Astyanax mexicanus: one gene and its partners. The protein of the gene in region 2 purifies or fractionates together with the protein of the main gene of each other region. This does not show direct contact. Links are inferred from orthologs where the notes say so. Each region holds a gene or a part of one and is shown on either strand. Other genes may lie near its edges. The genes, in order: llgl1, sqstm1, ripk1l and hadhb.

What was found.
Region 1: the proteins of sqstm1 (region 2) and llgl1 purify together in Homo sapiens (affinity purification with mass spectrometry; 3 studies listed by BioGRID and IntAct, with this or other methods). This does not show direct contact. The link is inferred for Astyanax mexicanus from reciprocal best matches to the Homo sapiens genes SQSTM1 and LLGL1.
Region 3: the proteins of sqstm1 (region 2) and ripk1l purify together in Homo sapiens (affinity purification with western blotting; 3 studies listed by BioGRID and IntAct, with this or other methods). This does not show direct contact. The link is inferred for Astyanax mexicanus from reciprocal best matches to the Homo sapiens genes SQSTM1 and RIPK1.
Region 4: the proteins of sqstm1 (region 2) and hadhb purify together in Homo sapiens (affinity purification with mass spectrometry; 3 studies listed by BioGRID and IntAct, with this or other methods). This does not show direct contact. The link is inferred for Astyanax mexicanus from reciprocal best matches to the Homo sapiens genes SQSTM1 and HADHB.

The regions. Positions count from the first base shown.
Region 1 is NC_064410.1:54,048,015-54,055,656, forward strand, and holds the start of llgl1 (lethal(2) giant larvae protein homolog 1), read right to left. Parts: upstream 3,446-7,642; 5' UTR 3,305-3,445; coding exon 3,224-3,304; intron 1-3,223. Other genes in the region: myo15aa (unconventional myosin-XV), read right to left, coding at 4,901-5,002, 6,073-6,213, 6,315-6,448, 6,544-6,677, 7,104-7,237, 7,587-7,642. UniProt on the Homo sapiens protein: Cortical cytoskeleton protein found in a complex involved in maintaining cell polarity and epithelial integrity. Involved in the regulation of mitotic spindle orientation, proliferation, differentiation and tissue organization of neuroepithelial cells.
Region 2 is NC_064417.1:17,977,895-17,985,218, forward strand, and holds the start of sqstm1 (sequestosome-1), read right to left. Parts: upstream 3,293-7,324; 5' UTR 3,135-3,292; coding exon 2,966-3,134; intron 969-2,965; coding exon 873-968; intron 653-872; coding exon 246-652; intron 140-245; coding exon 1-139. UniProt on the Homo sapiens protein: Molecular adapter required for selective macroautophagy (aggrephagy) by acting as a bridge between polyubiquitinated proteins and autophagosomes.
Region 3 is NC_064415.1:8,725,688-8,733,888, forward strand, and holds the start of ripk1l (receptor-interacting serine/threonine-protein kinase 1), read right to left. Parts: upstream 3,263-8,201; 5' UTR 3,024-3,262; intron 2,504-3,023; exon of another isoform or gene 1,534-2,503; intron 1,246-1,533; exon of another isoform or gene 336-1,245; intron 209-335; 5' UTR 202-208; coding exon 41-201; intron 1-40. Other genes in the region: dusp22b (dual specificity protein phosphatase 22-B), read left to right, coding at 6,008-6,028. UniProt on the Homo sapiens protein: Serine-threonine kinase which is a key regulator of TNF-mediated apoptosis, necroptosis and inflammatory pathways.
Region 4 is NC_064408.1:42,744,900-42,753,065, forward strand, and holds the start of hadhb (trifunctional enzyme subunit beta, mitochondrial), read right to left. Parts: upstream 3,107-8,166; 5' UTR 2,894-3,106; intron 2,820-2,893; exon of another isoform or gene 2,727-2,819; intron 1-2,726. Other genes in the region: hadhaa (hydroxyacyl-CoA dehydrogenase trifunctional multienzyme complex subunit alpha a), read left to right, coding at 3,333-3,399, 6,972-7,013, 7,118-7,188. UniProt on the Homo sapiens protein: Mitochondrial trifunctional enzyme catalyzes the last three of the four reactions of the mitochondrial beta-oxidation pathway.

The DNA of each region.
Region 1 (7,642 bases), on a different chromosome or scaffold from region 2:
GAATACATTCATTTTCAATGGGCATATATGCAGCTGAAACAGGGAGCCTAGTGCATCCTAGTGCTTTTGTCCTTAATGTTATTTTTTCCCGCCTTACATTACTTTTACACTTTAAGTAGTTTTAAAACCAGTACTTTTACTTGAGTAAAAAGCTTTAGTTGATACTTATTTTTAAACCCCAGGATCTATACTCCTACCCGAGTGATCAAGGTCAATAAACATAAATGCAATCTTAATCCTAGAAAATTGACAGTGACCAGATTACTACAGAATTACCATTAAATGGTGACATACACACTACTTTTTTATAGACTTGCTTATATATAGTTACAGGATTCACACCAATATGTTATTCACCTCCTTTGGAGGCTGTAATTTAGTACAATTTTAAAGAACTCCCACTGAGACCCAGCCAGGCTAAAATATAGCCTCTGTGTGACAGCTGAGACTTCCAATGAAACCGGTGTTATACTCCAAGCTCCATATGTTAAACAATAAAAGGTCAAAATACGATGACTATTTACTTAAAAAGTACACAAAAAAACTTTCACTTTGAGCCACATGTACTGATTAATAATGCTGGTTCTCCTCTCAGAAAAGAGTTTTTTTGGCTGAATATTGTATACAATATTGTGTAAGGTTAGAGAAAAACCCTGATCAGAACATGTCTAAATTGTAAAACTCATTAATGCAGATTAAAATAAACATTTTACACAGAGAAATAATTAGATAAAAAAAACACTACTTATACTCCATATATTTAGAAAAGAAGCCAAAGTCATTACTCAAAGGATATCAGAGCCCACCTCCTCATGCCTGAGGTGAAAAGAATTGTCTTATCTTAATGAAGATGTTACTTGTCTCATTACATAACAGTTCAACAAATCTTACCATCTCCTGCCTCTGAGAAGCGAGTTCAACTCAGGTGGGAGAATTTACTGCCAGGCAGATGTCCTAGACTTCTCACCACTGTGTAGACACTTTATTGGACTCCAGATTTTGGTATTTAAAGTCTACAGTTTTTTCAAATTAAGAGTGTAAGCATACTCTGTTAACTTTAGTCACCTCCAATTTTACCAACTCTCACATTGTCAGGGAAGTGAGACCCAGACAGAACTAGTGGAAGACCACAGGATAAGTTTGGAATTGTTTTCAGAGAATCTGGATAAGAGAATTTTACAGAAACATCACAGGCCACACTCCACTGCATATGCTGTTTATATGACCTCATTCAGAGTTGAAAAAGAGAGAGAGAAACAAAAGGATATAACCAGAATCTGTTTGACAGTTTTATACTGTCAGAGACGGACAGCAGTAAAACAGCAGCAGTGTGGTGCAGCAAATGTTAAGATTGTTTAGTGGGAGGAGCAAATGGAATGCATTGTTTTTTTAGGAATTTTAGACAATAACGGTTACAGAAACATATCCCACATTTCTCCTTATTGTGTACACTCTTTCTATAAACTGTTATATAGTTAGCAAAGAGAAAGTGTGGTGCAACCACAGTTACACAGTCAGAGACAGACATCACCCAGACAGCACTAGTTAAATGAGTGCAGCCAAATATGTTATTGTTTACTGGGAAAACTGAAGGAGAGGTTTGGAATTATTTTAAAAAAAGAGCACATCTGTGGTAATTTTCCCCAATTTCATCAAAGTTTTCACAGTCAAAGAAACAGCAATAGCTAGTGTGGTGTGACAAATGTTTGTGGTTGTTTACTGGTAAGATTATGGGAGTTTGGGTGTTTTTAGGCATTTTTGTACAGGCCATTCATGCAAAGGTTGTATGGTTGATTCATGCAATTGTTTGTTTTGCCAGTTTTACCAATGTTTTTACACTGCTAGACAAAAAAACAAATACAGAAAAGAGCTAATTTGTTTGTAAGAATGTCTGGGCTGCTTTTTAAGATGTTTTAAACTAGTTTTAAACTCCCACACCTTGCTCCATTGTGTACTGGGAAGAGCAGAAGATATGTTTGAATTGTTCTTTAGTAACTGGGGACAAGAATTTGGAATGTGCAACAAAAATAGGTTGCAATATCACACAGTTTACTGAAATAAGCGTTAGTGCAAAGTTGATTCATGCAACTGCTTATTGTTTTTGCCATTTTATCAATGCTAAAAACAAACACAAATATAGAAAAGAGCTTTTTGGCAGAATAAGCTTGGGCTGTTTTTGAGATGTTTTAAATTAGAAATGGTACATAAACACATCCCACACCTCTCTACATTGTTTTCTGGGAAGAGCAGAAGGTATGTTTGTAGACATATCTTTAGTTTTTTTAAGTGATTGCGGACAATAAACGTTGCAGAAACACATACCAGACCTGTGTACACTCTCTGTATGTATCATCATATAGGAGTTCCAAAGCTGAAAGCATAAAAATGCTTTGTTAACATTGGTAACTAACTAGTTTAGCCAATTTTACTAATGTTTTTAGACTACTAGAGACAAAGAAGACAAATATAACCTAGTCATCAAACCAAGCTGAACTGCTTGGATTTGTGCACCAAGGAGCGGCTTAAAAAAACAGTAGTGTGCAAGCAGTGTGCAAGACTGGTGGAGGAAAACATGCCAAGATGCATTAAAACTGTGATTAAAAAGCAGGGTTATTCCATTAAGTATTGATTTCTGAACTCTTAAAACTTTATGAATATGAACTTGTATTCTTTGCATTATTTGAGGTCTGCATCCTAATTATCCTTAATTATTTTTTTCCAGAGGTGTTGAAAGGTTTTGAATTAGAAATTGTACAAACAAACATCCCACACATCTCACTAATGTTTACTGGGAAAAACAGACGATATGTTTGGATTGTTTTATAGTGACTGTGAACAGTCGTGTTAAATAAACATCCCAGACCTGTGTAGACTCCTAGAGACAAACAACAGAAAAAATGTCCTAGAAAAAGCGTGGATTAGCCAAATTTGAGATTATCAGTAGCTGTGTTTTTAAGGAAATAGTGGATAGTTAATATGTTTTTTTTTTAATTCTGGAGACTAAATGTCTCATTTATAAGAAAGCACATTAAACTGTGGTGCAGGACAGAGCAGCAGCACTGCATTACAGCAGAAGCAGCAGCAGCAGCAGCTTCAGCTAACTTTTTCCGTTGAGTGGTTGAGTTTTAACACGCAGCTCTGATGAGCCGCAGCTGAGCGGGCAGCCGCTGCTCCCCGCAGAACCCCGCGGTTAAACTGCCCGCTGCCCCCGAATCACACCCACCTTATTAAACGCGAAGAGGTCCTGCTTAATCTTCTCCCTCTGGGGGTCGTTCCCCTGCCGCCTGAACCGAAACTTCATCATCCTGAAGCCGAACACAGCGTCCCCAAACCCCGCGGCGTCTCTCTCTGTCTCTCAACTCCCGCACCGTTTAAACTGACGCTAAATAAACGGACAGCGTGCCTCGCGTAGCTCCGCGTCTCCCTCCGCCTCCGCTTCTCACCGCCCGCCCACAGCCTGCTCCTGTCGTTCAACCACAGGGCAAGTTCACAGGAATCACGGCCGCAGCAGCCAATCACAGCCCGGGAAACCGCGACCAAGCCTCTAAACCACGCCCCCAGCCTCACTGCGCACCCAAAACCCGGAGCGGATTCCGCGGACCGGAGCGCTGCTGCCGCGGACTGTAATCAGCAGCCAATTTCCCAGCGTCCAATCAGAAGCGCCGCTGAGAGCAGACCGTTTAAGCACGCTCCACATGCAGGGCTTCAGAAGACCAGACCAAATACTTACTAAAAACCTAAAATAATCCATTTAAAACATTTCCCAAAATTTGATAAAGCATTATTTAATTTTAATAAAAGTATCCATCTATTTATAAATTTGATTCAATTTCGAATTAATTTAATAATTCAATCTTTTTCTCAATTAAATAAATAATCCCCTTGTTACAAAAATCTAAATCTGGAAAAAATGTAAATTTTTCACTTTATATTATTCTCTTGATTGTATTAAATTTATTACACTCCCCTAATTTAAAAGACAGGTACCACAATCTAACAAATCTTTCACTACTTATATTCACTAATCATTCCATCAATAAAAATGTATTATAATATAATAAATTATTCCCTTTATTTGAATAATTATTTACCATAAGTTATTACATGATTCCCTTGATTTAAACATCTGTTATCACGGTTTGAAACATGAAATCCCCACAAATTCCCTCAATTTAAGAAATTTCTCCCTTGTTTCTGCCTTAAAAAAAACAATTTTGGAAACATAATGAAGGAAGGAAATAGTGAATATTTGAAAATAACAAATGTTAGAAAACAACATTGAATTTATTGAATCGACACATTTTATGGCCTTATATAAAGCATGCATAGTATGAATTCAGTATTTTGGATTCCTCATACATTGCCTTATAATTTGCAAGTGAGTTTAATTTGCAGTATTATTCCTTTCTATTATGCAGTATTTTGATTGTCCTGAAATAAGTTTTGAGCTCAAACTAAATATCTTTAGTGATGTTTAATAATGAGTAGGATATATCAAATAAATCACACGGAGGCTTTCACGTTTTGTTCAATTATAAAAAAAATAATTTGAAAAACTAGATTTATTTTTGTATTCAGATACAACATGTGAAAATGACACACAAATACATTATGTACATATTCACAGAAGTGCAAATGATTTCAGAAACAGCAGCAAAACATGGCATATCCTGACAAATCATAGACATTCTTTATAGACGGGCGATTCTACCTTGTGTTCCACAGTGAAAGTGGAATCAGGGCCTGTGGGGGCATATCGAAGCATATTCTTCAGGGTGTGAGGTAGTGGTAATACGATTTAAATTAGCAACAAGGCTAAAAATCGGTCAAATCATTCTAACAATATTTATCATTGAAAGTGGAAATATAATGTGTGTGAGTGTTTTTGTCTGAAGGCTAATTAAAGCAAAGTGATCTCGCTGGGAGGCAGAGTGAGTCTCTTCTCTCGCACTGACAGCATGTTCTCCATGTGCATGGCGATGACACGGCATAGTTCCAGACTCTGAAAAGTAACAAACACACACACACATCACACATATGCAAAAATCACTCCAATAAATCCAAAAGTTGGTACTAAATGCTAAAGTATTTAATTGCAGACAGTATAAACTCAATATTTGTAGGACCCTATCTTATACCCTGTTCATTGCTATCTTACACCCTACCAACAGTCTATTTTCATGCCTCGCACCTGCATTGTTTAAATAGCAACAGTGTGTGTGAATATATCCAATAAGGAAATATGGTGTGTGTTTAGGTAAATTTCTGCCATATTGCTACCTTGGCAACAAAAAACACAGGTGCACCACTGACTGAAAACAACCTAAGCAGACATCAACCATCAGACACAAGCACGTGCCCAACACACTTGTTACGCACAAATGGACACGCAGCAGTTAAAAGACCCATAGCACATGCCTGTTGGCAGCTATGCAAACTTTTACCTCAACAATAAACAGAATGAACGCCCAAAACACACCCATTATTAATTAAGAGGATAAGTACATGCCTTTGGCGTGTTTTAAGCCTCGCAGTGCATACTTTTCCTGTGGTTACAATAGCAAAGTCATATTGCACGCCTTAAATCAAGCTGCACGGGGTGTGGGGATGACTTCTCACCTAAAGATTTTTAAAATAGAGCCCTTAATGTTTTGTCTGCTCAGTTTATTTCATGTGCTAATATACAACACATTTCAAAAGAAGTTGGGATGGAGGCAGCGTATGGTTAAAAAAAATAATAATGATGTTATTTTAAAAAGGTGATGTCAACAGCTGATTATAATCATGATTTGACTCAGACTTTGATGAGCAAAGATGAGGAGAGGATCTCCAGTTTATCAACAAGCGCAAGAGAAACATATTGAAATGTATAAAGACGGGGCACCGAGTGGTCCAGCGGTCTAAAACTGTCTGCATCAAACGAAAGTCAAAGCAAATGTACAAAAACTCCCAGTCATGTCTGATTTGTCTTTGCATATTTTGGAATTAAGCCAGCCCAAACCACATCATGAAAGATCACAACATCCCAATTATGTTATTCTCCTTCATGTACACATACAGTACAGAGCATACCTGGTCTAAATGCAGCTGTGTGATGCGCTGAGACATCAGATCTCCCAGCATTATCTCCACATAAGGGTAACAGGAGCCGGCTGTAGGCCTCTGAGTGCGGCTGGACTGCACCTCTTTCAGGGGGAATTTCAATATCGGCTCCTGCAGAGCAAATAATCGATCAAGTTCATCAGTTCATCAGGTCTATCTTCTTTATCTCAATATAAAGATACATGTGTTCATGATCTGCTCAGTTTACTTACATGTGTTTCTTTGTTCAGGAAGTTCAGTCCGTTCTGATTGACAGCCAGAATGCAGGGGCAGTCAATGGAGCTGTTGCTGCTGCTCTGAATGTAGAAGAAGGAGGATCCAAACATGGGGAAGGCACTTACGAGCCCTGTAATACCAAAATATAAAGCAGTGGTCATAAATACAGTATACACCATAGACACTTACAGTATTGATTACGTTTTGAGCATCGAAGCTCCTTACCCAGGAATTGGGCTCTGGCTTGATGGGGGCTGAGGGCCTGGATCTGCTGCATGTGTTGGGTTACCATGTTCAGCCACTGCTGGGGGCGCTGCAGCACACACAGCTGGACAGGAATGCACTCCTGGACCTCAAGGCTTGAATGTACAGATAAACATAGTTTATAATTTTAGCTATTAATCCAATTGAAAAAAAACTTAAAATAAAAGATTAAAAATAAAGATTTTAGAAATTCATAATTTTGTTAAAAGTTCTGAAAAGATCAACTTGTCCGATAATCATGTCATTATGTGAATATAACACAAGAAAACAAAACTGACACTTTGAAGATAAAGACCAAATTAATAGTTATAAAAGCTATTGGAGCAGGAACGACCCATTCAGAGCAGAGCGCTAGCAGAACTAATAAAATCTTTTTCTGAAAATGTAATGAATTTAACTCTATCATTTCTGAAATCCAGGACTGGAATCTGGAATCAAGCTCTAGAATTGAACATGATCTAGAAAAAACATGATCTAGAAAAAGGTCTGGTAAAATGTAAGGCGAGTGACTGTTGAATTACAGGGAAGGAAGATAGGCAGAGTCCTTGGCACGATGTTGCAGGGCGGCCAATTTTGCCACCTGCTGAAACTGCTGCTCACTTGCTTTCCCCTGCGGAACAACATTCAGCAGTCCTTTTAAGTAGTCAGGGGCAACCTGCAATATGAGACACATGAAAAAGTACAAATTCTGTGACAAAAGCTCATCCAATAAGTACAGCAATGCATCATCCAACCTGTTACTGAGGTATAAACAGAAATATTAAAGTGACAGTGTGCAAGTCTTTTCCTAGTAACCAGGAAAAGTTGCTATAGCCAGAAAAAATCCTTGGGATCTACAAGACACCCTGTCTTTAAAATAAATATATTATATACTGCAGGAATGGTAGCAGAACACACTGATGCCATTTACAGTATTATAATATGTTGCCCTCTCTGAACTAAGGGACAGTACTGTTTTTAATTCAAAATAATGAAAAGGTGCTGCTTTAAGAGAAAACAGGTACCTGGTTGTAATGCATGGTGACTCCAAGTTCATTGTCAAATTTAAGTGGCTGATTCC
Region 2 (7,324 bases):
AGCTGGGCTGAGTTCCAGATGGACCTGGTTGAGGCTGGTTTTGGTTCTGGTTTTGAGCCTGGGCCTGGGCCTGGGCCTGAGCACCAGCCCACATGCAGTGCCTCATCTTGCGCCAAAACTTCCCACCACGTGGGAACCACTGAGTGAGAAAAAGGAGTTGTTGAGTTTTTAATAAACAGATAAGTAGAGGGAAAAAACAACCAACCAACTGCCAATAAAAAGTATCTCCTTAAATGTAAGGTTACCTCAAACATGTTGGCCATGGGATGGAAAATGGGCAGGAGAGGATGTTCCTTGTGGAGGCCCTTGGCCTGGCAGGTGGAGCAAAGGTCATAATCTGGGCACAAAGTGCACTTGAAGCGAGTTCCAGCCACTTGGCCCTCACATCCATCACAGGTCACACCAGGGTGAATCATGGGGGGAGCTTGGTGTGGAGGTGGGCCCATATGTGGAGGTGGTCCATTTGGAGGTGGTCCATGGGGCCCACCATGATGTCCTCCGTGATGTCCTCCATGATGTCCCCCATGATGTTCGCCATGATGTCCACCATGATGGTGCCCAGGTGGCCCCATGTGATGTGGTCCTGGAGGATGGCCAAAGGAAAACCCTGGAAACCCATGTGGAGAGAAGTCACGCTTGTGCTCCTTTTTTTCTGAAAAAACAAAAAAACAAAAAAAAAAACAGGTTATTATTAAGAAGGTTATTAACTGTGAAAAAAGGATTAAAACTGGTTTTATGCTTTAGGTTTTAGGTCTGATCAGATGATATCAAGCATTTCCACAGATTCTCACACTGAATGTTTGCCAAAATGTTCTTAATAAAATCTTTATGTAAGATTCACAAACAACCGTTTGCATTCTTATGCAACTTACCCTTAATGAAGAGACGGAAGGTGTCTTCCTTCACCAGAGTCAATCCCATCATGAGCTCATCATCAGTGGAGAAGGCAATCATGTCACCATCCTCATCTGAAGGACAAGAGAAAAGCGGAAATGAGTTTCTAATATTTTTCTAATTATTAAACAAACTTTAATATTACCTGAATAAATATAAAACTTAAATTATAATTTTATTTATTAAAGGAAAAAACTATTCAAACCATTTTAGCCTTTCGTGATTTTTTTTTTACCCCTAAGCCTAATAACTTTGTTGCACTACCCTTGGCGGTAACAACTGCAATCAAGCTTTACTGATAACTTGCAATGAGTCTTTCACATCTCTGTGTAAAAGACTGAATTAAATTAAATTATTTTAATTCAGCCTCATTGGAGGGTTTTCGAGCATGAACAGCCTGTATAATATCATGCCACAGCATCTTAATCAGATATTGACTAGACCACTCCAAAACCTTCATTTTGTTTTGTTTTTTTTAGAGACTTTCAGGGGTGGACTTGTTTGTGTGCTTCAGGTTATTGTCCTGCTGCAGAACCAAGGTACGCCTGAGCTTGAGGTCATGAACAGTTGGCTGTACATTCTCATTCAGGACTGTCTAGTAAACAACAGAATTCCTGGTTCCATCTGTTACAGCAAGTTTTCCGGGTTCTGAAGGAGCAAAGCAGCCCCAGACCATCATACTACCACCACCATGTTTTACATTCAGGATGATGTTTTTTACTAAAATTATGTGTTAGTTTTACGCCATTTGTAGAGGGATACAAACCTTCCAAAAAGTTCCACTTTTGTCTCATCAGTGCAAAGAACATTTGTCCAAAGTCTCCAAGATGTTTTTTGAAAAATGTGAGACGGGCTGTTCTTTTTGGTCAGCAGTGTATTTTGCCTTGGAACTCTTCCATGGGTACAACTTTCGACCAGTCTCTTTCTCATTATTATATCATTAATACTGATCTAATTGAGGGAAGTGAGACCTGCACTTCTTTATATGTTGTTTTAGGTTATTTTGTGACCTCCTGGATGAGTTGTCCATGCCATTTTGCAATAATTTCGGTCTGCCGGCCACTCCTGGGAAGGTTCAGTGTTCTTAATTCTACAGGTCTGGCAATAATCACGCCTGGTTGTGGATAGTGAAATTGAACTCAGCTTTCCAAAGTGTGATTAATCAGTTAATTTATGGGGGACAAACACTTTTTTTTACAAAGGGCTAGATTGGTTTGGATAGTTTGTTTGATATAAAAATTTGATCATCTGAAAAATGTAAGTATGACAAAAATTCAAAAGAAATCTGTAAGAGGGCAAATACTGCCACTGTACATATATGTATAAATGTATGTATGTATATATATATCATGAAAATATGCTGAAATGCTGTAAAACATCTCATTTAGAGATTTAAACACAAAACTCTGTTTGAGCTTAATTAGGTGTATTTCCATTACAAGGGTGGAGTCGACACACAACCAGAAACAATGAAGGAAAACAAGTCTGAGCAGCTGAACCTGTGTTGATATAATATGCTGATGAACATGAACATGAACTAGCTAACCTAGCTTACTGTCTGTTTCTTTATACTGAAGTTAGAATATTAGCTATCTAAAAACCTTAAAACACATTATAATTATACTGTAAACTTAATTATAGCTTACTGTCATTACATATATACTATATATATATATATATATATATATATATATATATATATATATATATATATACACATACAGCAGGGGGCACTTCAGTTATATATATACACAAAATAAACTTGTTTAAGGTATAGTTTTATAACCAGACCAAAGTCATAATGTCATAGTGTAATAGTGAAAAGAGGCTATAGCTCAGATTTAACCAGATTACACGATGCCCATTAGCTAACCTCGCTAAGTAACTAAGAATTAGTTACAGTGTAATAAGGTGGTATTAAGGCCTCGGTTGGCCGGTTAATAAATAACCCATTCAGGTTAAAGTCCCATTAAACCAAACACTGGAGGAAGGAGCCCAGCCTGTGTAACCCCACACTATTATAACTTTATCTAGTTAAAGAGATTATTTCTGTATTAAAGTCCTAACTTACCTTTGTAGTACATTTGGAATGTGGCATTCCGGAGGTTGGTAAAAACATCCACCACTTTGCGGCTCAGGTACTCGAAACTTGTCGACACGTCCTGGTCGACGGCGAAGCGCCGAATCTCCCTGTGGCTGTCCTCCTTCCCCAGGAGGTAAGCTTTGACGGTCATCGACATTTTCGCGTCTTTTTCTCCCGCGACACAAACTGCTGCGGATCAAGAAGTCGGGCTGTGGGGTTTGTTGCGCAGCAGAAATTCACTTCCCTTTAAATCAGCAGTCAGCTGAGCGTCACGCCTCCTGCAGCCGCGGCTCCTCTCCGATCCTGCCCTCCCGCTCAGCCGCAGCTTTTATACCGCCCAGCCGCCCAATCGGAAACACGGCCTGGGTCCTGGGGGGCGGGGCTAAGTGCTTCTTGACAGGCGGACAAAGCTCACGGCGTGTTATTGTGATCAGAGGCAGTACAACAGCGCGGGGTGGGGGGGGGGGGGGTGGGCGGGGCCAAGCACAGGGGGGATGTTAAAGGCCGAGGAATGACACAGCACTTTCCACCCGGGGATTTCCCCCTGATATCACCACCGAGGACATGTCTCTGTCACTGTGCATACAGCGCCTTTTTAACCTAAAATCAGTTAAACTAAAGTAAAACTAATTTTACTACCAACACTTCAAATTACAAAACCCTGTAATGCTATTTTTACTAGTAGAATCGTTCAGAGTTAAAGATTCATCTATAAAATGTTTGTTAGTAATAATATCAGACCCATTAATTTATAAAACCATTCTAACTAGTCACAGCACAACATATCCTTATAACATAAACTATTTCTTACTAATGTGTCAAAATGGAGAAAATCAGGTACACCATTAGAGGCTCGCTGAGCACCTAAGAAAATGTGGGAACCGTTCTTTGTATATGTGAGGACCTTACAATCCTTTGTTATTCCTGAGTAACTGTTGAATATTTATTGTATGATTGTGTTTTTCTATCTATTATGTTATTTATGTTTCTTTTTTTAGTATTCTTTTTTTCAGCGTACCTTTTTTGTATTTTTCCCTCTATTTTTGCTTAGACTTATTTGATTGGATTGGATTTTGTTCTGCATTATTACATGAAAAAAATAATAAATAAACCTGGAAAAAATATTTCTGACTAGTATAAATGCTAATTCATGTACATTTGATAAGTATAAATATTTATTTAAGAAATGTTTGGTTTTAGATCTCTATAAATACAGTATTTGCACTATAAGGCACACCAGATTACAAGGCGCACTATTGATGAACGTCTGTTTTCTGATCTATTTTCATACATAAGGCGTACCGTTTTATAAGGTGCATTATGCAACACTAGGGAGAAACAGGGGTGTCGCCACGTTTTCCTTCTAATTCTACGGGTCTTGCCGCTGCGGGTGGTGGTGGCGGGGTAGCTAAAGTAAACAGCAAGCCAAACATTTCACATCAATAATTTACAACATGTAACTATATTACATTATGGAAATGTTATACTTGTAATATGACTAATTATTCATCTTTAAATATGATAATATAACTGATATCTACTGATACTAAAGCAGCTTCTAAGGACACCTGATTGTTAGTGTCTGTCTGAATTACAAGGGCAATAGACACAAACTAATTTCATGTTTCATGGGAAACAGTCTTGAAAAACATGACAGCATTGGCCAAACAAACTGCGTCAGCAAAAAGCAAAGATCCCTTGCAGAGATAGAAGGACATTTAACAGGAATGAACAACACCACAAACCTAAGGCCTTAGAGTTTACCACATTATTGAATGAACACATCTTCCAGCCACACAGTCATAACCACTATAAGCTTCAGAAAGCTGAAAATGACAGCAGCGCTGCTGCTTTGTATTCAAGGCCAGGACACAGACAGCTGTAGGTATAACCTGGTGTAATGTATTAGAATATGTTGTGATTTAATAACATGGTGTAATTTAACAGCTTTTCCAACATTTGGGCATGTGCACTAATTAACTTAGACCTCCAGTATTAACAGCAGTCATTTGGTTTGGCATTAACCCAGCCTGTGTGATCTGTGCTTGTTTGGTTTGGTTGTTCTAGATTATTCTGGTTTAATCCACCTTTCAATGCTGATGCAATCACCCTGTTTAAAGTGAAATACTGTGTGATTTGTTCAGTATTAGATCAACATAGCCATTTCCAACCTGTGCTCTCCTAAAGCTCTCATTCATGCAAGATGATATGTGTGAAGTGCTGTGTCACAATGACTAGCACAAATAGTAACACACCTGTAGAGTAACATATGCTGCTGGGTAGGATTTCTGTAACCAGATTTAACCAAAACAAGTTCAAACAAGTTGTGTGTGTGTAGGAAGGTTAGTTACAAAAGTATTTGGACACTTTTCCAAATAATTAATACACTGAAGTAAACAAAATGCCACAGTGATGCCGTCCATCATGAAACTAAAGTATCCAACAATTTGTCAAAGCTTCTCCATTATTACGTGATTGTGATGTAAACAAAGCCATGGGAAGTTTGGTGGGAAATGCAAAGTTCTAAAAAAAACTACCCACTCTGATTAACTCACTGTGGTGGGCACTTTTCATGTTTTTAAACAATGTTTTATAGAAGGAATTACACAATATTGATATGAATATGTTTATTTGTGACAACAGATAGGTGTGATTCTACAAACACATCTTTATCTGTTTTTGCATCTGATGAAAACACTCTTTGCTTTCTTAAGAACAATCAAAAGAACCTTCACTTGATATAAAAATTCCGAAACAATTTAAAGGTTCTTCACAGTAAAGAGTTGTAACAAAAAACTAGATGAATAAAGATTACAATAGAGATGTGTGACTGTGCAAAACCTTTTATAGAACTTCGTGTAACGTTTCCTACCAGTTTAAAGGTTCTTAATAAAATAGCTCTTATGGCTGGGGTATTTAATTAAACTTCAAAAATGATGAGTGACAGCACTCATCATAACACACACATTTTATTAGCTGAGCAGATGCATGAAATTCTGTAGGTTAAATTGTGTTCTAAAATGCTCTTTTTTTAAATAGTAACTGGAACAGTGACCCTCAGAACATTCTGTAATTCACATGCGCTGAAACACAAGTGGGCTGACTTGATTGTTCATCTAGGTTATGCAATTGTGTGAGAAGGATTAAATTCCAAGCTTTTGGAAACTGCTAAAGCTTTGTTTAGGTTTCCCCAAAGACATTTAATCTAATATACTGGTCTTGTGGTAAATCAGAGGGTTTACTGTCAGTAGCAGATTAATGAAAACAGTGTCTGGGGCCACTGAGATAGAAACACGGTGATAAAGGTATGAACCAAAATACTGACAGTTTCCAAAGCACAGTAAAAACAGATTAAAATAAACTGTGATTATGACTCTTTCTGTGACCTTTCTGTTAAATATAACCGCATACCAAACCTAGATGGGGATGTTCCAAACCTCAGTGTCGCAACTATTTCATTCGACTCACTCTTTCCTAAGATTCCTAAAGAGGCCACACACACACACACACACACGAATTTGCAGTACATTGTTTGATTTTAAGTTAATCTAGCAAAGCAAAAGTGTGAGCTATAAAATACATCTGGTCAATTTTGTATGTATTTATGTAAAAAATTATTTAATAATTTATTATTTTACTCACAAAAGTAAGTAAGCAAGCCCCTCACATTTTTTGTAAGTATTTCATTATATCATTTTATGGGACAACACTGAAGATGTGGAACTAACAATATTAATATGAAGTACACAATGTACAGCAAACACTGAGTACAGTGTGCATTGTACAAACCCGGTGGTAGGGTAGCTTGTTAACTAGCCTCCTGGCCAGCAGAGGGGATGTTTTTCTGATTGACCAGCTGGTCTGAGTGTGAGTGTAAAGAACCTTTATTAAACTATTAAAATCATTGCACTAAGTTATAGTTATATAGACCTTTAAAACATTATTTACACTGACACAGAAAAGAAGAGAAAGTTAATTGTCTTGATTAAGGGCCCCAATGTGACTGCTTAGCATATTTAAATATTTAATCCACAACCTTGTTTAAGATCCCACAATCTCACAAGTCACCACATCCCTAGTGTTTGTTGTAGTACTTTTTGTGTTTAATCAAAGTTTTATTTTCATATTAGCTCTATAGGTATTAGCGAGTTTGTAAATTTGTGCTTGTAAACATCTACCAAATTCACATTCATTGTATATCTTCTGTCTTAGTATAAGAAAGATTAGAATCTAAGAATATTATACAAGCTGTATATTTTAGGATATATGTTATATTATACTACTCTATGATATAAAAACACAATAATACATGAACATGAACTTTAACTTATTCTTATTACAACAATT
Region 3 (8,201 bases), on a different chromosome or scaffold from region 2:
TGAACACCTTCCTAAAGAACACCAACCCAATAACACTCACTCATTTCGAGGTGGTCCCGTGTACACGGTCTTCTGCACCACCTGGCCCAGGGTTTTGTGGTAGCACAGGTAAACCTCTCCAAAGCCTCCATAGTCCAGCCGCTTCTTCCTGATCAAGTCCGAGGACTTCATGTAAATGTCCAAGCTCGATCCTGTAGCCATGCTGTGGCTGTTTAAGATAAGATTACAAGATAAAAATGTATTATCGTCCTGAAACTGTTCAAAATATTAAACTAATGCACATATTCTTTTTTTATAGTGTTCATATTCTGTATCTATCTATAACACTAGCCCACCTGAGGAGTTGTGTAACCTGACACCACTGAGGAAGTGATTTACACTGCTAACACACACAGCACAAAGACCCTCTAAACCAACTTTAGGAGTGTCCTAACACTTCCGACACAAACAAATCTCCACCAAAAGCCTTCTAAACCAACTTTAGTAATATACTAACACTTCTGACACAGACAAACCTCCACAAAACACCAACAGTATAAACCAAACGCCTTCTAAACCAACTTTAGTAATATACTAACACTTCTGACACAATCAATACTCCACCAAACACCGACTAACACATATCCAACAACCAGGACCAGTATCACACGACCAAGCCTCCACAAAACACCTACTAACACAAGCCACAACAACTAAGGACTCTTTAACCAACACAAACACCTTCGGAACCAACTTCAGACATGTCCTAACATTTCTGACAAGACCTTACTTCCACCAAACACTTATTACCACAGCCTAATGCCTAAAACCAACACGTAACACCTACTGAACCAATTTTAGCTATGTCCTAAGACTTCTGACACTGCAAACAACTCCACCTAACACCAACTAACACATCCTCCAACACCTAAACACAACAGCAAAACTTGAACTGAATCGACTTTAGAAATGTCCTAAAACTTTTGACACTGCCAAAACCTCTATCAAACACCTAAATTCAACACCAAAACCATCTGAACCAACTTTAGGAATGTCCTTACACTTCTGACACTGAACAAACCTTCAAAACACAAAACACAAACATGAACAATATCTGAACACTTCTTGACACAATCAAACCTCCACCAAACACCTACTAACACAAACCAAACACCTTCGTAATCAACTTAATATTAATATCCTAACACCTTTGACACAACCAAACCTCCACAAAACACTTACTAACACACACTCAACAACCAGCACCTGTACTAAGACCCTCTAAATTACGTTTATTAACATCTTAACACTTCTGACACAACCAAACCTTCACAAAACACCAACTAGCACACATCCCAACACCTAAAACCAGCATCACAACCTTCTGAACCAACTTAATAGTAATATCCTAACACTTCTGACACAACCAACCTCCACAAAACACCTACTAACACAAACCAAACGCTTTAACCAACTTAATTGTAATATCCTAACACTTTTGACACATCCAAACCTTCACAAAACACCAACATACACACACCCATCAACCAGCACCAGTACCAAAACCATCTAAATTACCGTTATTAATATCCTAACACTTCTGACACAGCCAAACCTCCACAAAATACCAACAGTATAAACCAAACGCCTTCTAAACCAACTTTAGCAATGTAGCAAAGCAACTTTTACTATTTCTGACAAAAAACTCCACCAAACCTCTATCAAACACCAGCTAACACCTTGCCCCTGGAACCAACACCAGCTACACCACATTTAGTAATATCCTAACACTTCTGACAGAAACCAACCTCCACCAAACACCTACTAACCAAACGTCTTCTGAAGCAACTTTAGTAATATTCTAACACAACCAAACCTTCACAAAACACCAACTAACACACATCCTGACACCTAAAACCAACCTCAACAGCCTCTGAACCTACTTTAGGAATATCCTAACACTTCTGACATGAACAAACCTCCACAAAACACCAACTAACACATCCAACAACCAGCACTAATACTAAGACCCTCTAAATCACCTTTACTAACATTCTAACACTTCTGACACACCCAAACCTTCCCAAAACACCAACTAGCACACATCCCAACACCTAAAACAAGCATCGCAACCTTCTGAACCAACCTAATAGTAATATACTAACACTTTTGACACATCCAAACCTCCACCAAACACCAGCAACACAAACCATACACCTTCTAAACCAACTTGCAATGTAGCAAAGCAACTTTTACTACTGACACAAAAAACCTCCACCAAACCTCTATCAAACACTTGCTAACACCTTGCTCCTAGAACCAACACCAGCTAAACCAAAATTAGTAATATCCTAAAACTTTTGACACAACCAAACCTCACCATCACACACTTAACAACCAGCCACAGTACTAAGACCCTCTAAATTACGTTTACTAACATCCTAACACTTCTGACACAACCAACCCTTCACAAAACACCAACCAACACAAACCAAATGCCTTCTAAACCAACTTTAGTAACATCCTAACACTTCTGACACAACCAAACCTTCACAAAACACCAACCAACACAAACCAAATGCCTTCTAAACCAACTTTAGTAACATCCTAACACTTCTGACACAACCAAACCTTCACAAAACACCAACCAACACAAACCAAATGCCTTCTAAACCAACTTTAGTAACATCCTAACACTTCTGACACAACCAAACCTTCCCAAAACACCAACTAGCACACATCCCAACACCTAAAACCAGCATCACAACCTTCTGAACCAACTTAATAGTAATATCCTAACACTTTTGACACAACCAAACCTCCACAAAACACCTAAAATCAACACCAAAACAACTTAAGAAACACGTTTTACTAACACAGCACAACCACAACCAGCACCAGCCCCAGTACCACTCTAAAACACTTCCAGTAATGTCCTAACACGTCTGACACTGCCAAACCTCCACCACACATCTCCTAACACACCCAGTATCTACAATCTACAGATGAATCAGTGTTACTGTGTACAGAGAGCAGTAAGTTACCGGGCTGAAGATCTGAATGTAGCTGTGGATCTTCAGTAACTCCAGCTGAAGCTCATGTTCTCCTGCTGCTGCTCCTCCGGCCGGGTGTTCAGTAGTAAAATCTCGGTATATAATCAGCATAAAGTGTAAAATAATAATAATAATAATAATCAGACTGTGTGTTTCACTCACCCTGATCTACATTCCTCTGAGTTCCTGAGGAAGCTGTGTGTGTGTGTGTGTTCCGGGTTCACACACACACACACTGCAGAACTGAAAGTAAGAAAAACCCCCTTCAGACCAAACTAATCACCACCAGAGACCAGACTAGTGCTTCACACACTCACACACCTACAGTACAATAATAATAATAATAATAATAATAATAATAATAATAATAATAATAATAATAATAATAATAATAATAATAATAATAACTAGAAAGGGAAACTTTGAGTTGGCTTGGAAAAATGCCAAAAAGTCCAAAAATTATTTTGCTGAAATTGTGGAATTCTAATAATTTTGTCGGATATATTAGTTTCCAAAAACATTAGTTAAAAGCTAAAGTCCAAAAACGTTTGACTAAACTTTGGCTAATTAAGCAGTGTCCAAAAACAGTAAGCTAAACTTTGGCTAATAGAGCAGTGTCAAAAACATTTGGCTAAATGCTAAAGTCCAAAAAACCTTTGACTAAATGCTAAAGTCCAAAAACCTTTGGCTGAATTCTAAAGTCCAAAATCCTTCGGCTAAATGCTAAAGTCCAAAAACCTTTGGCTAAATGCTAAAGTCCAAAAACCTCTGGCTGAATTCTAAAGTCCAAAATCCTTTGGCTAAATGCTAAAGTCCAAAAATCTTTGGCTAAATGCTAAAGTCTAAAATCCTTTGGCTAAATGCTAAAGTCCAAAAACCTTTGGCTAAATGCTAAAGTCCAAAAACCTTTGGCTAAATGCTAAAGTCCAAAAACATTTGGCTGAATTCTAAAGTCCAAAATCCTTTGGCTAAATGCTAAAGTCCAAAAATCTTTGGCTAAATGCTAAAGTCTAAAAACCTTTGGCTAAATGCTAAAGTCTAAAAACCTTTGGCTAAATGCTAAAGTCTAAAAACCTTTGGCTAAATGCTAAAGTCCAAAAACCTTTGGCTAAATGCTAAAGTCCAAAAACCTTTGGCTAAATGCTAAAGTCCAAAAACATTTGGCTAAATGCTAAAGTCCAAAAACCTTTGGCTAAATGCTAAAGTCCAAAAAACCTTTGGCTAAATGCTAAAGTCCAAAAAACCTTTGGCTAAATGCTAAAGTCCAAAAACCTTTGGCTAAATGCTAAAGTCCAAAAACCTTTGGCTAAATGCTAAAGTCCAAAAAACCTTTGGCTAAATGCTAAAGTCCAAAAACCTTTGGCTAAATGCTAAAGTCCAAAAACCTTTGGCTAAATGCTAAAGTCCAAAAACATTTGGCTAAATGCTAAAGTCCAAAAACCTTTGGCTAAATGCTAAAGTCCAAAAACCTTTGGCTAAATGCTAAAGTCAAAAAACCTTTGGCTAAATGCTAAAGTCCAAAAACCTTTGGCTAAATGCTAAAGTCCAAAAACCTTTGGCTAAATGCTAAAGTCCAAAAACCTTTGGCTAAATGCTAAAGTCCAAAAAACCTTTGGCTAAATGCTAAAGTCCAAAAACCTTTGGCTAAATGCTAAAGTCCAAAAACCTTTGGCTAAATGCTAAAGTCCAAAAACATTTGGCTAAATGCTAAAGTCCAAAAACCTTTGGCTAAATGCTAAAGTCCAAAAACCTTTGGCTAAATGCTAAAGTCCAAAAACCTTTGGCTAAATGCTAAAGTCCAAAAACATTTGGCTAAATGCTAAAGTCCAAAAACCTTTGGCTAAATGCTAAAGTCCAAAAACATTTGGCTAAATGCTAAAGTCCAAAAACCTTTGGCTAAATGCTAAAGTCCAAAAAACCTTTGGCTAAATGCTAAAGTCCAAAAACCTTTGGCTAAATGCTAAAGTCCAAAAACCTTTGGCTAAATGCTAAAGTCCAAAATCCTTTGGCTAAATGCTAAAGTCCAAAATCCTTTGGCTAAATGTTGGACAGGCAATACTTTTGGTTAGCTGTTAGTCCAACAATGTTTGGTTAAATGCTAAAGTCCAAAACCTTTGGCTGAAATGGTGGGGTGTTAATACTTATGTCTCATACAGAATATAGAATATATAGCAGTGTCCAAAAACGTTTGGCTATGTGCTAAACTATGGCTAAAAGAGCACTTTACCAAATCGAAAAACCTCTGGAATATAATCAAGAGGAAGATGGATGATGACAAGCCATCAAACCAAACTGAACTGATTGAATTTTTGCATCAGGAGTAGCATAAAGTTATCCAAAAGCAGTGTGTAAGACTGGTGGAAGAGAACATGCCAAATGCATGAAAAAAATAACAACAACTGTGATTAAAAACCAGGGTTATTCAACAAAAAAACTTTATGGATATGAACTTGTTTTTGTTTTTTTTGCATTATTATATTTGAGGTCTAAAAACTGTGCATCTTTTTTTTTTTGTTTTTTCAGACATTTCTCATTTTCTGCAAATAAATGGTCTAAATTACAATATTTTTATTTGGAATTTGGGAGAATTGTTGTCTGTAGACACTGAAGTGGTCTCTTATTTTTTCCAGAGCCGTATTTAAGCATTTGTACTTTATTACTTAAAACCTCTGCATTTTGAATTAGGATTGTTTCTGGCTGGTTATGCTCGACTGTGTGATAATCTATAATCTTAAACCATTTATTATTTTTTTTATAAATAGCCATTTTGTTTTATAACAACTGTCATATAGTTTGTGCGTCTCTTTAAAAATGCGTTTAGCCTAACAAGGTAACAAAACTACATATCCCACAATGCCTGAGCTGTACGCATGCGCAGTTGCGTTTTGGTGACAGCGCAAGGGCAACTCTAGTGTAATCAGACGCGGAGTAATCAAACTGCCCCAGTGTGAGCAGCGCAGAGGAGCGGAGCGGACATGGGGAACGGGATTAATAAGGTAAAACAGCGCTCTGACAGCGGTCAGCGCGCGCGCGCGCGCGTGTGTGTGTGTGTGTGTGTGTGTGTGTGTGTGTGTGTGTGTGTGTGTGTGTGTGTGTGTATAGGGGGTGAATCAGAGGAAAGTTATCAGTGTGTGAAGTGTGTTAGTGGATCAGAGTGAATGTAGGCAGGTTTACTGCTTTATTTCAGTGTTTTTCTCTGTATTAATGTGAATATTTATTATTTATTTATTTATTCTGTGTTTTTTTCTGATAAAACACCCACACTGGTGGTCCTGAGTGGGCAGAGGGGTCTCACTCACTCCCTGCCTTCACCCACCAGTACACTGAGAGAGAGAGAGAGAGAGAAAAGAGAGAGAGGGAGCATGATGTACTCACTACTCATATTAATGTCATCAGGATGAGTTTCAGTGTGCTCACACACCAGTTATGCTAGCATGCCAAAAGTCATGGGACAGCATTTAACCCTCTGTGGCATTGTATTGGTCTCAATGGACCTTGGCATGGTGTTGCCCGCTGAGACAAACACTGGCCAATGTGCTCATGGCAAGGCGACATGCATTATCAAAGTTCTAGTGAGGTCTGATATATATATTCAGAATATCTCATTTCTGTGTTCTGGAACTGGTTCTGTTCAAGATTATAAGAAACTTGTCAGTAACCCAGCCCACGTTTGCACCAGTTTTAGTAAAACTGTTTTAATGGATACGTCAGAGAATACGTAATCAGCAGAGGGAGTTGCACACAGTGGCTCTCGGTTTGCACTGAAGATCCTGCTATTCTTTGGTTCCAGAACAGAGCCTGATCCACATTGGTGGAAAAGGTCCAATAGTGGGTGTCAGATGGACGGGACGTTCCATTGCCAAAGTTTTGTGAACATACGTAGCTACTTTTGTCTAACAATATACAATATTACTCCAGAATTAATTGCTAAGTAGCATTCAAAATACAATGTATCATTTCAAATAGCAATTCGTTAAAATAGCAACTATTAAAATATATATATATATATATATATATATATATATATATATATATATATATATATATATATATATATATAAATCCTAAATAAATTAGATATAAATCCAGTGAAAAGGTCTGTTCATTTTAATGGGCTCCCTCTGCTGAGAAAAGCATAATGGACAACATAGATGTCATAAAAAAAGAAAATGTATGGCAAGTCGTTAATGTAACCAAAATACTGAAAACTGTATTTTATATTTTACATGATTGTAAAAAATCTTATGAACAGTTTGTAGCATTTACCTTAATACTGCCAAAGGAATTAGACTTTTCAGCTTTTCAGACAGGGCTTCCCCACTTGCATGCAGACTCTCATTCACTCTTGGCATAACGAGCAAGCTGATTGGCTCATTTTCTCGAGGGGTGGATTTTATTTTATGTAATGATCGTCACCATTGGCATTTGGCTTGAACAGTGTATACGGACTCAAATCACGTCCATATTTAATATAGGAGGCTCCACACACAAATCACAGATATCCATAGTGTTCATTAACTTCCATTGGACATGGAAGCTTAATTAAAGCAAATTAAAGCAAATTAAAGCAGCAGATTGCATGCGTTGGAAGGGGTGTCCACAAACATTTGGACAAATAGAGAGCGAGATACAGAGAGTACCACTGTAGTTCACAAATCTAAAAATACTCACCTGACACATACATATGTACACACACGTGCACACACACTTTAACACACACACACACACACATACATTCCAGGCCTGGCCTCCTTCTCTTTCCCACACAGCAGAGCTGGTCTGCCTTTCCAAAAAGCCTGTATTGAAGAAGATGAGGCAGCCTGGTCTGCTGAGCTGTAACAGTGCATCTATTTATGTTTTTTGAGCATGAACACAGATTATGTTTAAAAAACTTTGCCAATCCAAAACCTTCATTTAGTTTTTTCAAGCCATTCTGGTGTGAACTTGCTGGTATATTTAGGGTCATTGTCATGCTGCAGAACCCAAGTACGCCTGAGCTTGAGGTCACAAACAGATGGCCAGACATTCTCCTTTAGCATTATCTGATAAACAGCAGAATTTATGGTTTTATCGATTACTGCAGGTTGTCCAGACCCTGAAGCAGCAAAATAGCCCCAGACCATCACACTACCACCACCATGTTTTAACATTCAGTATTCTTTTTCTGAA
Region 4 (8,166 bases), on a different chromosome or scaffold from region 2:
CCAACAGACAAGCAACACTCAGTAGAAGCAGTGCTTGGATTTACTGCACTGTAAAATAAACCGGTGTGTTTATTGTATTTAATTGTTTTTATTGTATTTAATTTTAATTGCATTATGCTATTTATGTCAAAAAGCAGCTTTACATGGCTGAGGGTATACTAGACAAATGATTTAATACACCAGCAGCATTTAGAAATCTGAAAAAAAAAATTCACAAATGAATGAATGACACAGATGTATAACATGCAACACATTCAACAGACCAGGCAAGAACATAGACGTTTTACAAGTATTAAGTAAGAGAGTATGACATAAAAATATTATGAAATGATTATACGTTTATGAAAGAAGCCTTATGTTTTTAAAGTTCTAGGCTTAATTTCAGGGCTTGAAATATTCCCAAAATTTATTTCATACTATATTACTTCATTTAGGTCCCCATGCTAAGATTCTGATACCAATATGTACAGTATAAAAGCCACTGTCCATGGTGTACATAATGGCATGCTGATACTGAGTGATATGGTAAAAATATTATATCCCATTCCCCGTTATCCCGTCTCCCTCCACCCATCCTCACACTCTTCTATAGAGGGACCATTGAGAGCATCCTGAGCAGCTGCATCACTGCCTGGTTTGGGACCTGCACCGTCTCTGACTGCAAGACCCTCCAGCGTATTGTGAGGACAGCTGAGAGGATCATCGGCGTCTCTCTCACCTCCATCACGGACATTTACACCACCCGCAGCATCCGCAAAGCAACCAGCATTGTGAATGACCCCACCCATCCCTCACACAAACTGTTCTCCCTCCTGCCTTCGGGAAAAAGGTACCGCAGCATCCGGTCCAGCACGACCAGATTCTGCAACAGCTTCTACCCCCAAGCCATCAGACTCCTCAACTGCAGAGACTGAACTGATGTTTTTTCTGTACATGCACACACACTCTTACCCCACTTACCCCAGAAAATGGAAAGCACTAAAAACCCTACTACCTCACTGGACTCTATTGCACACTGTGCAATAGAGGTAATTACTACCTCACTGGTCTTTTTGCACACTTTTTGCACACTGCATAATTTGTACACTGTCTTGTTATTTATTATTCTGTCTGTATTGTGTTGTATTGTCTGTCTGCACTTTTGTACTGTTGCACTATTGTTTTGTCTACACTGTGTTTATGTGCACCATGGTCCCTGGAGGAACGTTGTTTCGTTTCACTGTGTACTCTGTATATAGCTGAAATGACAATAAAAACCACTTTGACTTTGACACACAGTATTTATCATCAAGTTTAAATAAGGAGAAAAAAAACATCAGCAGTGTCAGATTCTGCTATTATGCTATTTAAATACTATTTAATAATTTGCACAGTGATTATTAAATTTTTGTGGCACACCATGTAATTAAACACTCTCTGTAATTAAATTGGTTAGTTAGGTCAGGGTCCTGTAGGCCCTGATGGTACATTTGATATGATCGCAGTCCACTGAAAAACATGCATCTCCAAAACGGCAACTTTACAGAACAGCAACAAAATGTAAGTAAATGAAATAAAAAGTGTTTATTTCAAGTCTTTTATAAATGTTGCCAGTTCGCCTGTTAAACTTATTTAGCAAACTAAAAATCAACAAAAATGGAGCTTCTCGTTTTTCATTGGACAGCAAAAGCAGTGTCCTCACGATATAAATGATGGTAAATTATATAATTATACAATAAAAATATTGATATATTGCTAAACTCTATGTACAATATGTTACATATATAAATCCACAAAATAGTTTCGTTTATATTTTGCCTCGATTTTTGCGCTTTTCATTTGCGATGGTAGAAAAAACGTAACGATGCTACAGTATCTACTGTAGCGAACAGAAAGAAACCAGGCCGACACAGAATTAGACCACGCCTCTTCAACAGGGTGACCACGCCCACTATACTAAGGGTCCGTCAGGATGGCCTCCTCTAGCGTGGGTTCAGATCCCATACATGACAGGCTTTACTGTGTCATTGCGGTCAGCCTGGTCAAGGTTGTAAAGCTGTGAATTCAACACGGTCACTCACTCTTCTTTAATATATAGTCATATATTATTACATTAAATTACATTATTATATTAAAATAATGCTATAGACAACTTCACCAAGCACCATGTATGCTAACATACAGTGTAGCGAAAACGGCGTCAGTGCTCTTAATTCACCTTCAACATGACACTTAATAAACAAATGTCAATGCCAATGTCACTCTTTTCTGCTATAATCACACTATTACAGTCCACTGTGTTTGTTTTTTTGTTTGTTTGTTCAAAATAATGAATCTACAGTAATTTATGAGGAGGTATTGAAGGTAGCATTATATATCCTCTTATGTAAACATTTTAGTAATAAATGCGTGTCTATCAGAATAACAAACCTGCGATCAGCTGATTAATCACACTTTACAGTGTCTCAGGTGTGTAAAAGTCATATGCAAGACTTCTGATTTCATTCTGGTAACGTGCCCTGATTAGCTGAATTATAAACAGCTCGGTGACCCTTCACCTACTTCTTCAGCCGGCACAAGGGCAGGCTGCACACACTGCTAACTATCTCACTCTCACACACTAATTGTGCAAAACTACAAACTGCACTGCCCTGTCTACCAAACACACTAAACACAAATACTTTAACAGGCTTATTTACAATAAATAAAATAGTGAGACCATTAAAAACAGCAGGATTTGAGCTTACCGCAGCTAGCCAGCAAGACACCACACTGACAGTGAAATCAGCCAGCCCGCACTGCGCATGTGCACAAACACTCTCAAGCGTTCAGTATCTCTCTGTGTATGTGTGTGTTATTATGTTATTATAGCCAGTGAATGCAGATAATCTGTGTGTGTATGAAGGAGCGTTACCTGCGCAGATCCTGCTGTATGATGAACCCGAAGCCGCGGGACTCTTCCTGGGACTGGACCAAGATGACAAACGACTACAAAAAATGTGCAGCTCGAAAGACCTTAAAAGTTTCGTAGTAGCCCTGAAATCTGCCTGCACTAAATTGTCTTAAAACTATTAAACACAAAAAAACTAATCTGCATACACATATAAAACCAAATGCACTGAGCCGTATATATTCATGTGCACGTGTTTCAGTTGTCAGTGCTTTTAAAAAGTGACTTTAGCTACGCAATCTGAGAAATGGAATGCAGCTTGGGTCCTTAACGCACCGGTTTCCCCTCCCTCGCGCTTCCGTTTCACGGTTTGTGTGCTGGGGGGGTGCGCGTGTGTGAGTGCGTGATTGTGCGCGTGCGTCTGTCTGTCTCTCAGCGTCTGTGAAGCGGAGCTCCGGAGGCGATGGCGAGCGTACGGGCGGCGGGCACACTGATCAGATCTGCGGCCAGCAGATACCCTCATTTCTCCGGTAGGTGCAGCAGATCAGACTCAGACTCTGGGTTTTGTAGTTTTTTATAGTGAAATCAGCTCAATAGCGAAAAGCTGCAGTGCGTGTAGCGTCCTTACGCGACCCTGCGAGCCTCACAGGCGGATGAACTTTCACCTACTTCTGCTGGGAGGGTGACCGATGGGGGGGAATGATCAAGTGCATGACCAGAAGACCACCTTACACACCACCCCAGTGTACCAAAGAGTTGAGAATGTCAGTGTGTGTTATGTAATAAGGCATGCTATTAATTTGTGAAGTAGATTAGTTATATGTGCATTGCATTGAGTGAGTTTAGTTATAGAAGAATGAGTGAAATCAGAGCTGCTCCTTTAAACTAATTTTCCCCTTTGTTTTTCTTCATCTACAGTCAAGAATAGAAGGAAATGGCACAAAAATCAGTGTACACATTTTTTGCAGTAAACTGACAAGGCCTTGAAGGAAAGCAAATGAACTAAACACTGAAAAAAACATTTTATTATTGTAGAAAAAAGAGTATTGTAAAAAGGAATGATTTTAACAACTGAAAACTGTCATTACCTTTTGGAGAAATCTGATATAAAACCCTATATTTTAAAAATTGCACTAAATCACAGATTAGAGGTGGGCAATATGGCTTAATATAATATCACAATATTTCATTGTATTTTCACGATGGCGATACTCTTGGTGATATGTCAAAACACTGAATTTAAAAAATATATATATATATTTAAAAATATACGTACTTCAGCAATATAATATAATACAATATAATATGGCACACCCCTAACTGCGATAATAAAAAATACAAGAATTTTATCAGATTTGTAAAATAAGTCAATGACCAGAACATCATGATCATTAATGCACTTGAAATATCTCCATATATCCAGGAATGAAGTAAAATGAATGATACTGGACAGATATAATCTGTCTCTAGTAGATATATAATGGTAAATGAGAACAGTGTGAATTTTTATTTTGCTAAAAGCAGCAAAAAAAGTAGGACCCTGATGTGATAATTAGCGGTGGGCGATATGGCACAATATTTTAGGATGTAATATCGTTCACATTCACAATATTCAAAAATGTTGGTGATATTATTGCGTACCATAAGATACTATATGACACACCCATATCACAGATAGATATTGTAATGTCAGATTTTAAATAGGCTCTGGTAATGCTGCAACCTGGAACACGGAGTATCATTTTTTTTAGATCGGCCTAGTGACCCAGTGGTCTACAGTTAAGGTCACTGCACTTTTATTCTGAATAAAGTTTCCATAATTAGCTTACAGCTTATGAGTAGCAATAAAAATAAATTGAGCTTTGGAAATTGATTTGAAAAACTTGTCAATTTACAAAGCTTTTATCTGTAGTAAAGCAGTGCTGGAACAGATTTTGTTATTGCACTCTCTACTGCAGCATTTACACACTAGAAACACTAGAAGCACACGGCACATAACTACAGTAGAAAAAGACACACACAGATAACTCTGTAACTGTGTAAATAGGATTAAAAGGATCTTGACATGACAATACTGTTGTTTATTGCAATTATTTGTGCATGCATGTAGTCACAGTTATAAAGAATTTTTCAATATCCTTTTAATTGTTGTTTTTTACTGTTTGAAATGATTTCATGGCAGTGACGTCATATCAAACAAATGTTACCTTTTAGCTGCTTGATACAAAAGACGATACAAAAAAATCACACTGCTCTCTCATCATTTTTTTGACTCCAATTTTGGATACATGGAATAAATTGTTAATATTGTAACAATCAGGGACTTCTGGAGAAATCTGATATAAAATCCTGTTTTTCAAAATAGCAATTAATACAGAAAAAAATATATATTGCAAAGTGAGATATTAAATGGGCTCTGGTATGATTTTGTAGGTTGGCCTAGTGACCCAAACATTCCCCCAAAGTTTCCATATATGGTACCTGAGTGAATGATGTCCCAAACCATATTTACACCCAAGTCCTGGTGACGCTAGTCGTCTTGTCACTCCCTGTTTAGAGTACTTTTTCCACATGCACTCATACACACGCTCTCTCACAGAGGGTGTGTATGGTGGCATTACCTCTTGTGACCGGGTCAGGTGAAGGAGAAACAGAACTGGGCTGCAGGTCATGCTGCATCAGTAACTGTATCTGTATTTAGGTCAGAGTCATTATTGATTAATAAGGGATGTTAAACTGTTTTGATTAAGGTTAGGGTCATACATGATTTCTTTTGATTTTAATTGCATGATTCTGTGGCTTTAGCTCAGTCTAGTACTAAATATTAAAGAGTTACAATTGACCAAGGTCAGTAAAAGTGACCCTCAAAGTTTTGTTGGTAAAGTAGCTATAGATATAATAGCTGTATATTGGGACAGTTTTTAAGCTTTCTTATTAGAAGAAAATATCTTAAGTGATTAATTTCTGTAATACTGAAGATTTTTCTGGTTTCACAGCTCTGCAAAAACCTTTTTTCTTGTCACGATCATTACATTATTGACTTATCATTCACTAAATGGACATGCCCTCAATAATATTTGATAATTGTGATATCATCTATTGTGTTTAATTGTATGTTTGTTCACATATATAACAGTGAACAGTATTTTAGCCAGTTATGTAATATCCAATGTTTTAATAACCCCATACACACAGTGTGTACTGCAAAAAGTATGTATTTTCCAAACTATAATAAATTACAAATTTGTTGTCTTTAAAAGGGAACGAAGTTGTGCTTTAAGCTTTTCTGTTTTTTAGAGCTGGGTAATATGCCCTAAAAATCTATTTTTTTTTCACCAATAAAAGAAAATCAGTTTTTTGATTTTAACTAAAAAAATTTCCCTATTAAAAAGAGACAGACACTGGATTATACTGCAGAATGTGAGCAGTAATGAAGCAGTAAACAGGTCACAGAAAGTTGTAATGAAAGAAACATTCAAGGAGCACTATTTATTGTTTTCCACAAATAATCACGGATCCTCACCGGAGGAGGGCCACTCTGAACTATAGAAGCCCAGAAGGGAGCATAGGTAGCAGAAGTCTAAACAGAGAAAATCAGTTTTCATAAAAACGCATCGTCCTTAACTGTAAATTTTAATTAATTCATAAAATTGATTTTTTTTATTATCATTATGTCAGTGGCATGTAATTGGGCTTAAAATGACAATAATATCGTTTATCACAATAATTACTGGGGCGATTAAATCGTCCACAAAAAAATATCATTTTGACGGGCCACACACGAGAGAATAAACCTGTCCTGTTTAAATGTTTGTCCAAATATCACCCTAAAATTACCAATCTTAAGTAAACATCTTTAAACTGGTTTTTGACTGCATGTTTTACTCACACTTTTATTCATGATCACATGTTTTTTCAGTGTTGTGTGAACTAAAGATGTGATTTAGATGAAGTAATCTGAGTTTATATAAACATTACATAAAATAGTAAGCTAGAGAATGTGTTAAGCTTTTCAGGCTGTATCTACAGTCTTTAGGTTCAGTATTTTTCTTTAAGCTGAGGGCTCTGTTCACTTGTGCAAATATATATTTTTTTTGTTTAGTGAATGGACGCCGGAACTTCTCTGCATCATCAGCTCTGCTGGGTAATTATTAGCATAAGTGTTTTAAACCATCAACACACATTATTAATTTTATGATCCCTGCTTTTGGCGTATAATCCTGTACATATCTGTGATCTTTTTTTCAGCTCGCACCTATGTCAACTATGAGCTCAAAGATGACGTTGCAGTCATCAAGATCAACGACCCTTCAGGCCGGGTCAGTAACTCCAACACACTGTTCTGTCTTTCTAAGGGAAATTAGTTTTATTGTGATGTGATGTGATGTCATTTTCACTTTCATACTGCACACTTATTTTTTTTTAAGGCTGAGTGTTATGAAATGGACTTTTATCATATCAGCAAATTGTCAGCAAATATTCACTTTTTCTTTCGCAAAAATCAGTGTTGTTCAAAGGTGCAAGCAAACGTTTAGGCACCCTATAAATATGTTGCTGTGAATATTTAGGAAAATAGAAGATAAACTAGTCTATAAAAATGTTTACTAAAAAGTAAAAGTTTGGAGAGGAAAATAGACTTTTGGATGGCAGCTTTTATCAATGTCTACGACCTTAATTACATTGCTATGCCTATGGTTTGTTCTTAACAACCATTAGCAATTATTGTATTACTATCTTCAAATTCTGTAATCCTGGATCAGGCTGCTTTTGGGCCCTTTTCCCTTTCAGATTCATAAAATAATTTAGTTTAAACTCTTTTCATCTTTTACTCTCTTATCTGTTTTTTTAAAAGACACTTTAAGCAGGGGTGTTCAGACGGGTGTTTTGCATGCTTTTGTAGGTTTTATACTGATAGTAGGGTTGGGCGATGTCTCCTTAATTGGCAGATGACGATGTTTACAGTGAAACATCGCGATGGACAATGATAGAGTTGGGGGGGGGGTTAAAAATAATTAATATAAAATAAAAACTCATTTACAACAATATTTGATTAAATTTACAGGTCCTCACTCATTTTAATTTATTTAACTAAACTTTTATATTATTTATAGCTGAATTCAGCTCCGCGCTGCGCGAGAGAGAGAGAGCTCGCAGCGCATTTTGCCTGATTAAAATCAATAAATATGTAAATTTAATACCTTTTAATACCATATATTTTACTTCACTTGATAGGACCTTATTTATTAAAACTTTTTTTTTTTTTTATTCCAATGCCGCGCTTGTTCCTTATGACCTGA